Bombyx mori: one gene and its partner. The protein of the gene in region 2 purifies or fractionates together with the protein of the main gene of each other region. This does not show direct contact. Links are inferred from orthologs where the notes say so. Each region holds a gene or a part of one and is shown on either strand. Other genes may lie near its edges.

The links. The genes of interacting proteins can lie anywhere in the genome.
Region 1: the proteins of circadian locomoter output cycles protein kaput (region 2) and timeless purify together in Drosophila melanogaster (affinity purification with western blotting, with the first as the bait; 4 studies listed by BioGRID). This does not show direct contact. The link is inferred for Bombyx mori from reciprocal best matches to the Drosophila melanogaster genes Clk and tim.

What each region holds. Positions count from the first base shown.
Region 1 is NC_085110.1:8,681,902-8,687,192, reverse strand, and holds the start of timeless, read right to left. Parts: upstream 3,027-5,291; 5' UTR 1,782-3,026; intron 1-1,781. UniProt on the Drosophila melanogaster protein: Required for the production of circadian rhythms. The biological cycle depends on the rhythmic formation and nuclear localization of the TIM-PER complex. Light induces the degradation of TIM, which promotes elimination of PER.
Region 2 is NC_085107.1:11,774,510-11,779,044, reverse strand, and holds part of circadian locomoter output cycles protein kaput, read left to right. Parts: intron 1-2,979; coding exon 2,980-3,127; intron 3,128-4,535. UniProt on the Drosophila melanogaster protein: Circadian regulator that acts as a transcription factor and generates a rhythmic output with a period of about 24 hours. Oscillates in antiphase to the cycling observed for period (PER) and timeless (TIM).

The sequences.
Region 1 (5,291 bases), on a different chromosome or scaffold from region 2:
GTAAGGATGCTGCACGCCTCAAGCAGTCGGCATACGCGGCATGGAATGATGTTAGGAGACGCCGGGATCCTGACAGTTCGGAGAAAAGGCAGAAAGGAGAAACCCCATTCTGGGCCTAAGCGTTACACGAATGGGATATGTACTGAACTCCCCTTTCCGGTCTTCACTGAGCGCTATGACATGTTTTTCTTCACGCGAGGCTTGTGGAGAGTATTAAACGCTAGGCAGCGACTTGACTCTGCCCCTGGCATTGCTGACGTCCATGAGCGGCGGCAACCACTTACCATCAGGTGGGCCGTATGCTCGTCTGCCTAGTCAGCAATAAAAAAAAATTCAAATCATATTTCGCATCCAGGCTCAGAGATCTGAATCGAAGGCTACGAAGAATATTTTTTGCCGACCTTATAGCCTCTGCGTAAGTCTGGTAGCAGTCTGGCGCATACTACAACGGCAGAAGAAGGCCCATACTGTGTAGGTACTAAAGAGGTGTGCCTCCGAATCGAGATCCGCATTAATATGGTATTTCAAAAAGTACCAATTTCGTAGTTGTCACCAATGTCCACCTCATCCATTGAAAAGATCCGGCGAGAAACTCAGTGGTCAATAGCTATCGCTTCTGCTATAACACTCTCCTTCGAGACTGGGAGGTCATAGTTAGTACCTATAGTAAATTAGTGACGTCGTTGCTAAGATTAATCTGATAATGCCATGGCCGCTTGAAGTCTATAGTAAATCGTTACTTCGCGTTAACACGCTTCTTAATGTGAAACTTGGTACATATCATCAATTCCTTGGACGGAGTATCAAAATTGATCTCGGAGACTGCTGCATCGATAACATGCTGGTGTACCACAGGGCTCGGTGTTCCCCACGCTTTTTTATACTCCAAATAAAACACATAATCAATGTGTGTAGTTAAATGATGGCATATATTATGGATGCGGATGATGGGACGAGGGTATACGGTAGAGCGGTATTTAGTTTCATTCGGAAATTGTAAAAGGAGAAGCGAACTGCTTCTCAAAATACTTCACAACGAAGAATACTTCTGAATACAACACAAAACTTTTGTCTTTTTTAAAATCCAATTTAGAAACATATTTTTTGTAATATTTTTCATTTTCATTAAATACTAATGCTATGGATAACAAGTTTCAAAATTAAGAATCCAAATACTTACGTAAATATGTTTATTGCACTTTATCCCATAATTATTTTAAATTTTATTTCACACAAGTTATTTTAGTTAGTAATGTTAACTAGGAAAACTATATGAACGAAAACCCCAAACGAAACAGACACTTTAACCACTGAACGCTTTAATTACGTATTTCTCCTTCGTTGGGTAAGGTTCGCACTGTTCCTTGTGGATGTGGATACAAAACAAATTACAAACGAAATATACGACAGTAGCCCACGTGACTACAAACAACGTTATTCGACGAACCAATAGTAGGTCACGCTCACGAAGTCGCGTGTACGACGCACGTGCTCCTGAGGGCAGGCTTGAGTCGGCTTGACGTACGTACTACGTAGTACGTAGATTGCTATAGTTTTATTTTAGCTATAGTACATTATTTTGTAGTCTTAATGTACACAATATTTATACTTATGGCCAGAGTTGGGCGAAACATGACACTGAAAAAAGGGTTAACTATTTCCGATCAAATATACAACTCCTTTTTTAATCATTTAAAAAACTGAACTGTCTGATTAGTAGAATCTGCCGAAAGCAAGATGGAGGAAAGCGGTAACGAATCCGCTTAAATAAATAGGCTTACCCCTTGGCCACAGCCGAGAGCGGTGCGAATTGCGGTGCGTCATGAGGCGCGGCAAGCGGGAGCGGCGAAAACAAATGGTAGACAACCTATGAAGTATGCCACAGCTACTGGCGGTGCGTTTTGCGGTGCGTTGCGAGGCGCGGTGAGAGGTGCGTGACATCTGGCGGCGACGAGCTGCGCCATGTGCGAGTGAAACAAATGTACTAGACAATATGGAGGTGGCCACAGCTCAGAGCGGCGCGCGCGGCGGTGTCGGTGGACGCATTGAGGCATCGCGCGACCGAAACAAATCATTTTGTTTTTACCGCGCGTTGAGCTAATAAAATATAATGGATGTGGAACAATTCATTAGTGAAATACTGAGTAGACCAGAAATATGGATGTCAAAACATCCACATCATAAATATAGGCATGTTATAAAAAAAATGTGGGATGAAATAAAACAACAATTTTCTGGTACTAATGGTTTCCTAGATACTCTTGGATAGGATTATTGAAATAAAATTTGAAATTTGAATTGATTTCGTATTCTAGATGCTTGAACCGTTTCTCGATTATTCCGTCTTGATCTGCGTACGCTATTGTGAATATTGGAGTCTCCAAACTGGGAAATAAACTGCTGAAAATCTGCATCTCTGTCTCCATCACTTTCTGTTAAGGCACGAAACCTTTATAATCAATGTCGCGTGCTTTTTGTTTGCCTGTACACTTTTCGTAAAAATACGAAATTTATTAGTTAGAATACCAAACGCGTACTGAATTGTGACACTTGTCCGGGATAATGTTTTGTCGAAAATTATTTGTTCCGCATTTAAACCACCCGGTGGATATGGGCGCATCAAATAATTTTTAAGAGGATAGGCTTTATCAGCAATTAACACGTATGGTAAATTTAGATTTGAACCTGGTAATATCTGTGAAGGTTGAATCTATTAATAATCTATTTATCGGGATAGTTCTTATATTCCTAATATAATACCTAATAAATAGGGTGGAATTCGCCAAGTTCTCTCTTTTTCTTACTGGGTGCGCTCCTATTCTTGATTGAATAATATCTTCAGCTAAGAACGCACTTATTTCAAGGTAATATCGTGCCACTTTTGAAAGGGAATTTTGATAGGGCTTTCTAAATACGTCCACCTCTGACGCCGCCGCCGTCGCAACTAGTCTAGCTGTGGCATACCCCCGCAAATCACGCCGCCCGCCGCGCCTCGCAACGCACCGCAAAACGCACCGCCAGTAGCTGTGGCCAGGCCCTTAGTATTATCAAGTGTCAGTCAACCTTTAATGAATAACTACGATTGTTAGCAAAAAACTATATGATTGAAAACTATATAACGATATAAAAACTATATTAGAATGATCTATTTAGAAATCAGTGCTAGATATTTTCTGGATAGGATATAAAGAACTGGTTACCGATAAATAAATTCGCTCTTTTAGAAAGATTTATATAATTTAAACATCTTGTTCGTGATCGAAACAATCCTATTTGTAGCTCTAAGTTTATTTATGTTATAGCTTAATATTAAATCAGCGTAACATTTTTGGTCTCTTTCTTTATTTAAGATTTCTCAAACATCGATGTATCGTTCATATGCATCGATTTTAAACCTAAAACATCGAGTATACAAGGTTCTTCATGAACGATATGTACGATGCTTGTGATTTAAAGCTACACACATCAACAGATTCATCTCTGAATCACAAGTTTTTTTTTGCTTCCTAATGGGGTTTCGACGAATAGGCATGATGACAGTAGTCAAGTATCGCTAAAATATATAACTGATCTAATGAAACAGGATTCCTAGATTTTGAAAAATGTGTTTAGGTATATTAATGACGAGATTTATGATTTGTTTGTTTGTTTTTTTTTTTATTGCCCTTGTAGGAATACGAGCATACGGCCCACCTGATGGTGAGTGGTTACCGTCGCCCATGGACTTCAGCAATGCCAGGGGCAGAGCCAAGCCGCTGCCTACCGCTTAATACTCTCCACAAGCCTCGTTTGAAAAAGGACATGTCATAGCGCTCGGGAAACACCGTGGAGGGGCGCTCATTCCATAGCCGGATGGTACGTGGCAAAAAAGATCTCTGGAAACGCACTGTGGATGACCGCAGTGGCTCCAGGTAGTATGGATGAACTCTACTCCGGTGGCGGGCGGTGCGATGGTAAAAACGAGATGCCGGTATCGTCTCGAACAATTCCTCTTGTTGTTTGTTAAAATAAATCAACAAAATACAACAATCAGCCATGATAGCTGAAACCTTAAACACTAATCAGAGCGAATGACGTCACGTCTTAGTAAACGTCATCTTGTTTCGTTTGAGTTTACGCGCGATTACTGCAATTTTAACAAAAAAACTTATTGTATTCGCTTTACCTGTCGCTAAAATATATTTTATAATCGTATAATAAAATATATTTTATCAAGTCTGCCCCTTCCAACACTACATGACGATCACAACCACTCTGTCAAGAGTGACACGGCTGAGAAAAAGAAGAAGAGAATCGTAATTTACCATTTTCACAACAGAAGTTCCACAAAAGCCATCAGCAAGCTCTCTAAATGGGTTATTTAATCTAATTTTGTTTACACTCATGAGTATATTTTGTTAGCAGGAATATTAGTACCGTAAAATGGGGCGATTAGGGATTGAGAGGCGAATGGGGAAAAAACCAAGAAAATCTTTCGACGCTCAATATTAGTTTTATAATCGTTGCAAAATCTTCTATTTTTTGTAGTGTAATAGTAGAATGTTGAAAGTTCACAAAACAACTCTGAATATGTGTGATAATAGCTGCTAACTTATAAAAAATCACATTTCAAATTAACTTTTTGTGGTGGTAATTATTTTAGTGTTAGAAACTTTGATTTCTTTTATTTATCTGATAATAATAGAAGACGACTGTGATTTATAAACGTTATTTAGAGTTTGAACCATTAAGTATCAGTTGTTATTGGTTTTAATGTTTTTGATAAAATAAAAATACATGTAAAAATCTGTTGTTTTTGGGGATATTGGGGACGTGTCAGGTATAAATAAGAACGAAAAAGGGGTCAATTGGGATGAGAATAAGTAAAATGGAAACGAACTAATTATAAATATGTACAGGTTTGTAGGGCTGTCTATGTAGTTATAACAATATTTTTTAAATTTGTTGGTAAGAATCTGGTTTATTCATGATGTTTTTGTCTAGAACTTTTATTCAAAATTATCAATGCAGTGTTATTTAATTGTTTGGCAAATATTTATATTATCAGTTACATGTTATTTTCTATTTTTAGACATGCCTCGCGTGTACGTATCAAAGAGTGATCCTTATAAGAGATATGATCCCTTAATATTAAAAACAGTAATAGAAGCCTATGGAATTAGGAAAAGTCTTTAGTTGAAATATCTAAGCAATTTACCATAAGTAAATGTAACGTAAAGACATGTAACAAGAACGATGAAATCTCAAGGTGGACAAAAATGTGTAAGTAATACTTAATAAAATATAGAGGT
Region 2 (4,535 bases):
TCAGCTGGCGATCTTCTTGTATACCTTACTCACAGGTGGGCTGAAGCCTTGGAGAGCAAGGGCGAGGCTCTTGCTGTGAGCCTTGATATCGCGAAGGCCTTCGACAGGGTCTGGCATAGGGTACTTCTATAGAAGTTACCATCTTACGGAATCCCCGAGGGTCTCTGCAAGTGGATCGCTAGCTTCTTGAATGGGCGGAGCATCACGGTCGTTGTAGACGGTGACTGCTCTGATACCATGACCATTAACGCTGGCGTTCCATAAGGTTCGGTGCTCTCCCCCACGCTTTTCATCCTGTATATCAATGACATGCTGTCTATTGATGGCATGCATTGCTATGCAGATGACAGCACGGGGGATGCGCAATATATCGGCCACCAGAGTCTCTCTCGGAGCATGGTGCAAGAGAGACGATCAAAACTTGTGTCTGAAGTGGAGAACTCTCTGGGGCGAGTCTCCGAATGGGGTGAATTGAACTTGGTTCAATTCAACCCGATAAAGACACAAGTTTGCGCGTTCACTGCGAAGAAGGACCCCTTTGTCATGGCGCCGCAATTCCAAGGAGTATCCCTACAACCTTCCGAGAGTATTGGGATACTTTGGGTCGACATTTCGAGCGATGTCCAGTTTCGGAGTCATTTGGAAGGCAAAGCCAAGTTGGCGTCCAAAATGCTGGGAGTCCTCAACAGAGCCAAGCGGTACTTCACACCTGGACAAAGACTTTTGCTCTATAAAGCACAAGTCCGGCCTCGCGTGGAGTACTGCTCCCATCTCTGGGCCGGGGCTCCCAAATACCAGCTTCTTCCATTTAACTCCATACAGAAGAGAGCCGTTCGGATTGTCGATAATCCCATTCTCACGGATCGTTTGGAGCCTCTGGGTCTGCTGAGGGACTTCGGTTCCCTCTGTATTTTGTACCGCATGTTCCATGGGGAGTGCTCTGAGGAATTGTTCGAGATGATACCAACGTCTCGTTTTTACCATCGCACCGCCCGCCACCAGAGTAGAGTCCATCCATACTACTTGGAGCCACTGCGGTCATCCACAGTGCGTTTCCAGAGATCTTTTTTGCCACGTACCATCCGGCTATGGAATGAGCTCCCCTCCACGGTGTTTCCCGAGCGCTATGACATGTCTTTCTTCAAACGAGGCTTGTGGAGAGTATTAAGCGGTAGGCAGCGGCTTGGCTCTGCCCTTGGCATTGCTGAAGTCCATGGGCGACGGTAACCACTCACCATCAGGTGGGCTGTATGCTCGTCTGCCTACAACGGCAATAAAAAAAAAAAAAATACGAAAAATATTTTAATATCGCCATTGGCATTTATTTTTACTCTCTATTGATTATAGGTATTATATAAAAGTTTAATAATGCGTCAATACTGTACTTGACCTAAAAACTAATATCGAACTGCAGAATAGCAGAAATTATTGTTTTGTATTGAAATCCTACAATATTCCACAAGTGTGATGTTTGTTCGATGGCTTCGAGCATTGTGGTATTCGTTGAATGCCTTTAATTAGTTTCAAAACCTAATTACTTTGTATAGTATTAATTCATATTATTATTATGCAAGTAAACATGCATTCATGGAATTGAAAAAGTCATTGCGACATTGGTTTACTGTTTCGGAGTAACTATCATAATTCACGATTGATTACGCATATACAGGTAAACCTTAAAAAGTCGTAAAACAAAAAAAAATTGTAAAGGTCGTAAAACATGAGATCGAAATCTCATACGCATTATATTAAAAATCTCATACTGTACGTTAAGTTGAAGTCATTTTTTATGTATAGTTTTTTTATTTCTATCAAACAAAATGTGCACCCATGGTATCGGTTCATCCCTACCAGCGAAGTGCTAATTTTTAAATGCCATTCTTGACGCAATAGGACCAATGTTGTTGTGATACTAAAATTGAAAACAACTGCTAACTCTGCAGTAAATTGAGGATCGTCAGCTTCCACGATCGCCTTTAATTCGTCATTGTTGGCCTAAGTTTTCGTGCGAATACGGGTTTCATCAATTTCAATTGAGCAGTATTTTAAAACGGCAATTTCATAGGCAGATACCTATTACGAGTATAAAGGATGTAAGAATCCCTAGGGTTCAAATATTGCATAAATGTATTTTTGATTAATGCATGTTTCTACTGCATATGATAATTATTCCGGGTTCGACGAATCACGTTAGTCGGAAGAGAATATTGAAAACATATTATGCTGTCAACAAGATCTCTTTAAACCAGAAACATGTCAATGCTCTCTCTCCGGTGAATGTTCTAGATAAATTTTGATGTTTGCAATACAAATTCATGACTGTTGCACGTCACACCATAATAATATGCCGTTTCATGAATATATTTCATATTAATTTATGTTACAATAAATTGTTGGGTCAAACAAATTCTTACCGTCCATTGTTGTTGTATGATTGATCGTTTTTATCACTATATTGTCGTTAACCGATACTATATTTTATAACTCAGATTTATACCTTTAAAATTAGTTCCGTTACTTATTTATAATAGAGATTTGACATGGCTGGGCGTATGAATTATTGTGGTTTTGAAACCTCAAGGTTCCACCACCATCGTTTTGACTATTTCTGCCGCAAAACAGGTTAAAAAAAATCTAAAAAAAAAACATCATCCTATTGTCGGATTAGCATTGGCTTAATCGTATTATTTGCTTAACAGAAATATGTTTACTTTAAAAAGTATAGCAACAATAATAGGACTTTAATGATTCGAAATCTTTAATTTCTAATTAATAAAACATTACTTTATGATATAAGATTGTATAAAGTAATTACGCTAAACAAATAAACCGGTCTCTACTGGCTGTCAAGTGATAACAGAACAACTTCATTGACCACCGTTTCCCATTTATTATTACGAGTATGTATATTATGTTAAACAAAAACATCAAGAGCTCCCCAAAAAATAATCTAATTTAGATGTATATATTTGTTTCCAGTGATGCAGAAAGGTGAACTCACATCCTGCTACTATCGATTCCTGACGAAAGGTCAACAGTGGATTTGGCTTCAGACTCGTTTCTACATCACTTATCATCAATGGAACTCGAAACCGGAGTTTGTCGTATGCACTCATCGAGTTATTAGGTAAGTTTCGCAATTTACGTACTCAACCCGCTAAATTGTAATTTGCGTAATTAGTGGTATTAGGACCTCTTGTGAGTCCGCACGGGCAGGTACCATCGCCCCGCTTATTTCTGCCGTGAAGCAGTAATGCGTTTCATAAATAAAAAAAAATGTTAGTGATTCATCCAAATTTATTTTATCGCCTACATACTCTACTTGATATGCTCATGCACACGTAAACACGTGTTTTTGATAAAGTCGATTCACCGAAAGCCTTCTTTAAAAGTTTTCAGTGACTCCGAAAATAGAAATTTCATTGGCGTTGCAAAATTTAAGGCAAACTCTTTATTTTATGTTTTTGTCCATTATGAAATTTCCTAGAGTACGGTTGTATGGCTAGAGGTACAACCAGGCGGAAGCCTACTGTAATATGCTCTCCTCAAACCCGGTGTTTGAAGAAAGACTTCTCATAAGTTAACGCCACGAAGGAAAGCTTATTTCAAAATTTCATAGTATGTCATGGATATATATACTCAAATGATAGGAAATGCAGGAGAGGATGAAAAGTAATAGTGATGTGAAGATCTATTGACTGGTCCATTTCTCTTTAGACCAAACACTAAAAACAAAAAAAAAACATTTTTACTATTAGGTATTTGTCATAGAGAGAACTAATGCTAGATATGTTTTATTTGAAGACTGTTAAAAACTCAACAATGACGGTACAAGATAGACAAAACGTATCTGTGTATTTGTAACTATATGAATTTCAATGAGTATTGAGAAACGTTGCCTTTTTTTCTCCGTACATTTAGTATTCTAATTTCTGTGGATTATGTAAACAGTCAACTGTATTTGTTACACTAAGAATATGACGTAACACGAAGACAGATATTCCAGAAACAAACTACGATTTGTGCGTAGAGAATCATATCGACGCCTGAAAGACAAACATGACTAAGCGACAATGCGTGAACTTTACAGTAGACTAATTTATAGTTGAAATACCTGAAAAAAAATCTATTTTAACGAATCTAGCTATAGTATTGAAATTATTTTAATAGACCTAGAAATATATATTTTTTGCGCATCGAATATGGTTATTGCCCATCACTTATGTACAAAGCAGTTATTGTCGCTTAGTCACGTTTGCCTTTCAAGCGTCGATATGTACTGGGCTCGGTATTGTTGACACTAAAAAACTATTGTTCTTACTGATGATTAGTTGTGAGCGATCGAATTTGTATGTACAATTAATTCTATTTATATATTCACGCATTGCGAACACGGCTTACGTATATAAATTAAATGTAGACTAGTGGTCCCGCAGTAGTCGAAATTCGACTATAATTAACTAAAATTATAAGTTTGAACATTATTAAGGTTCTATTGTCAAAGACTATTATTATACTTCTATAATCACAGATTT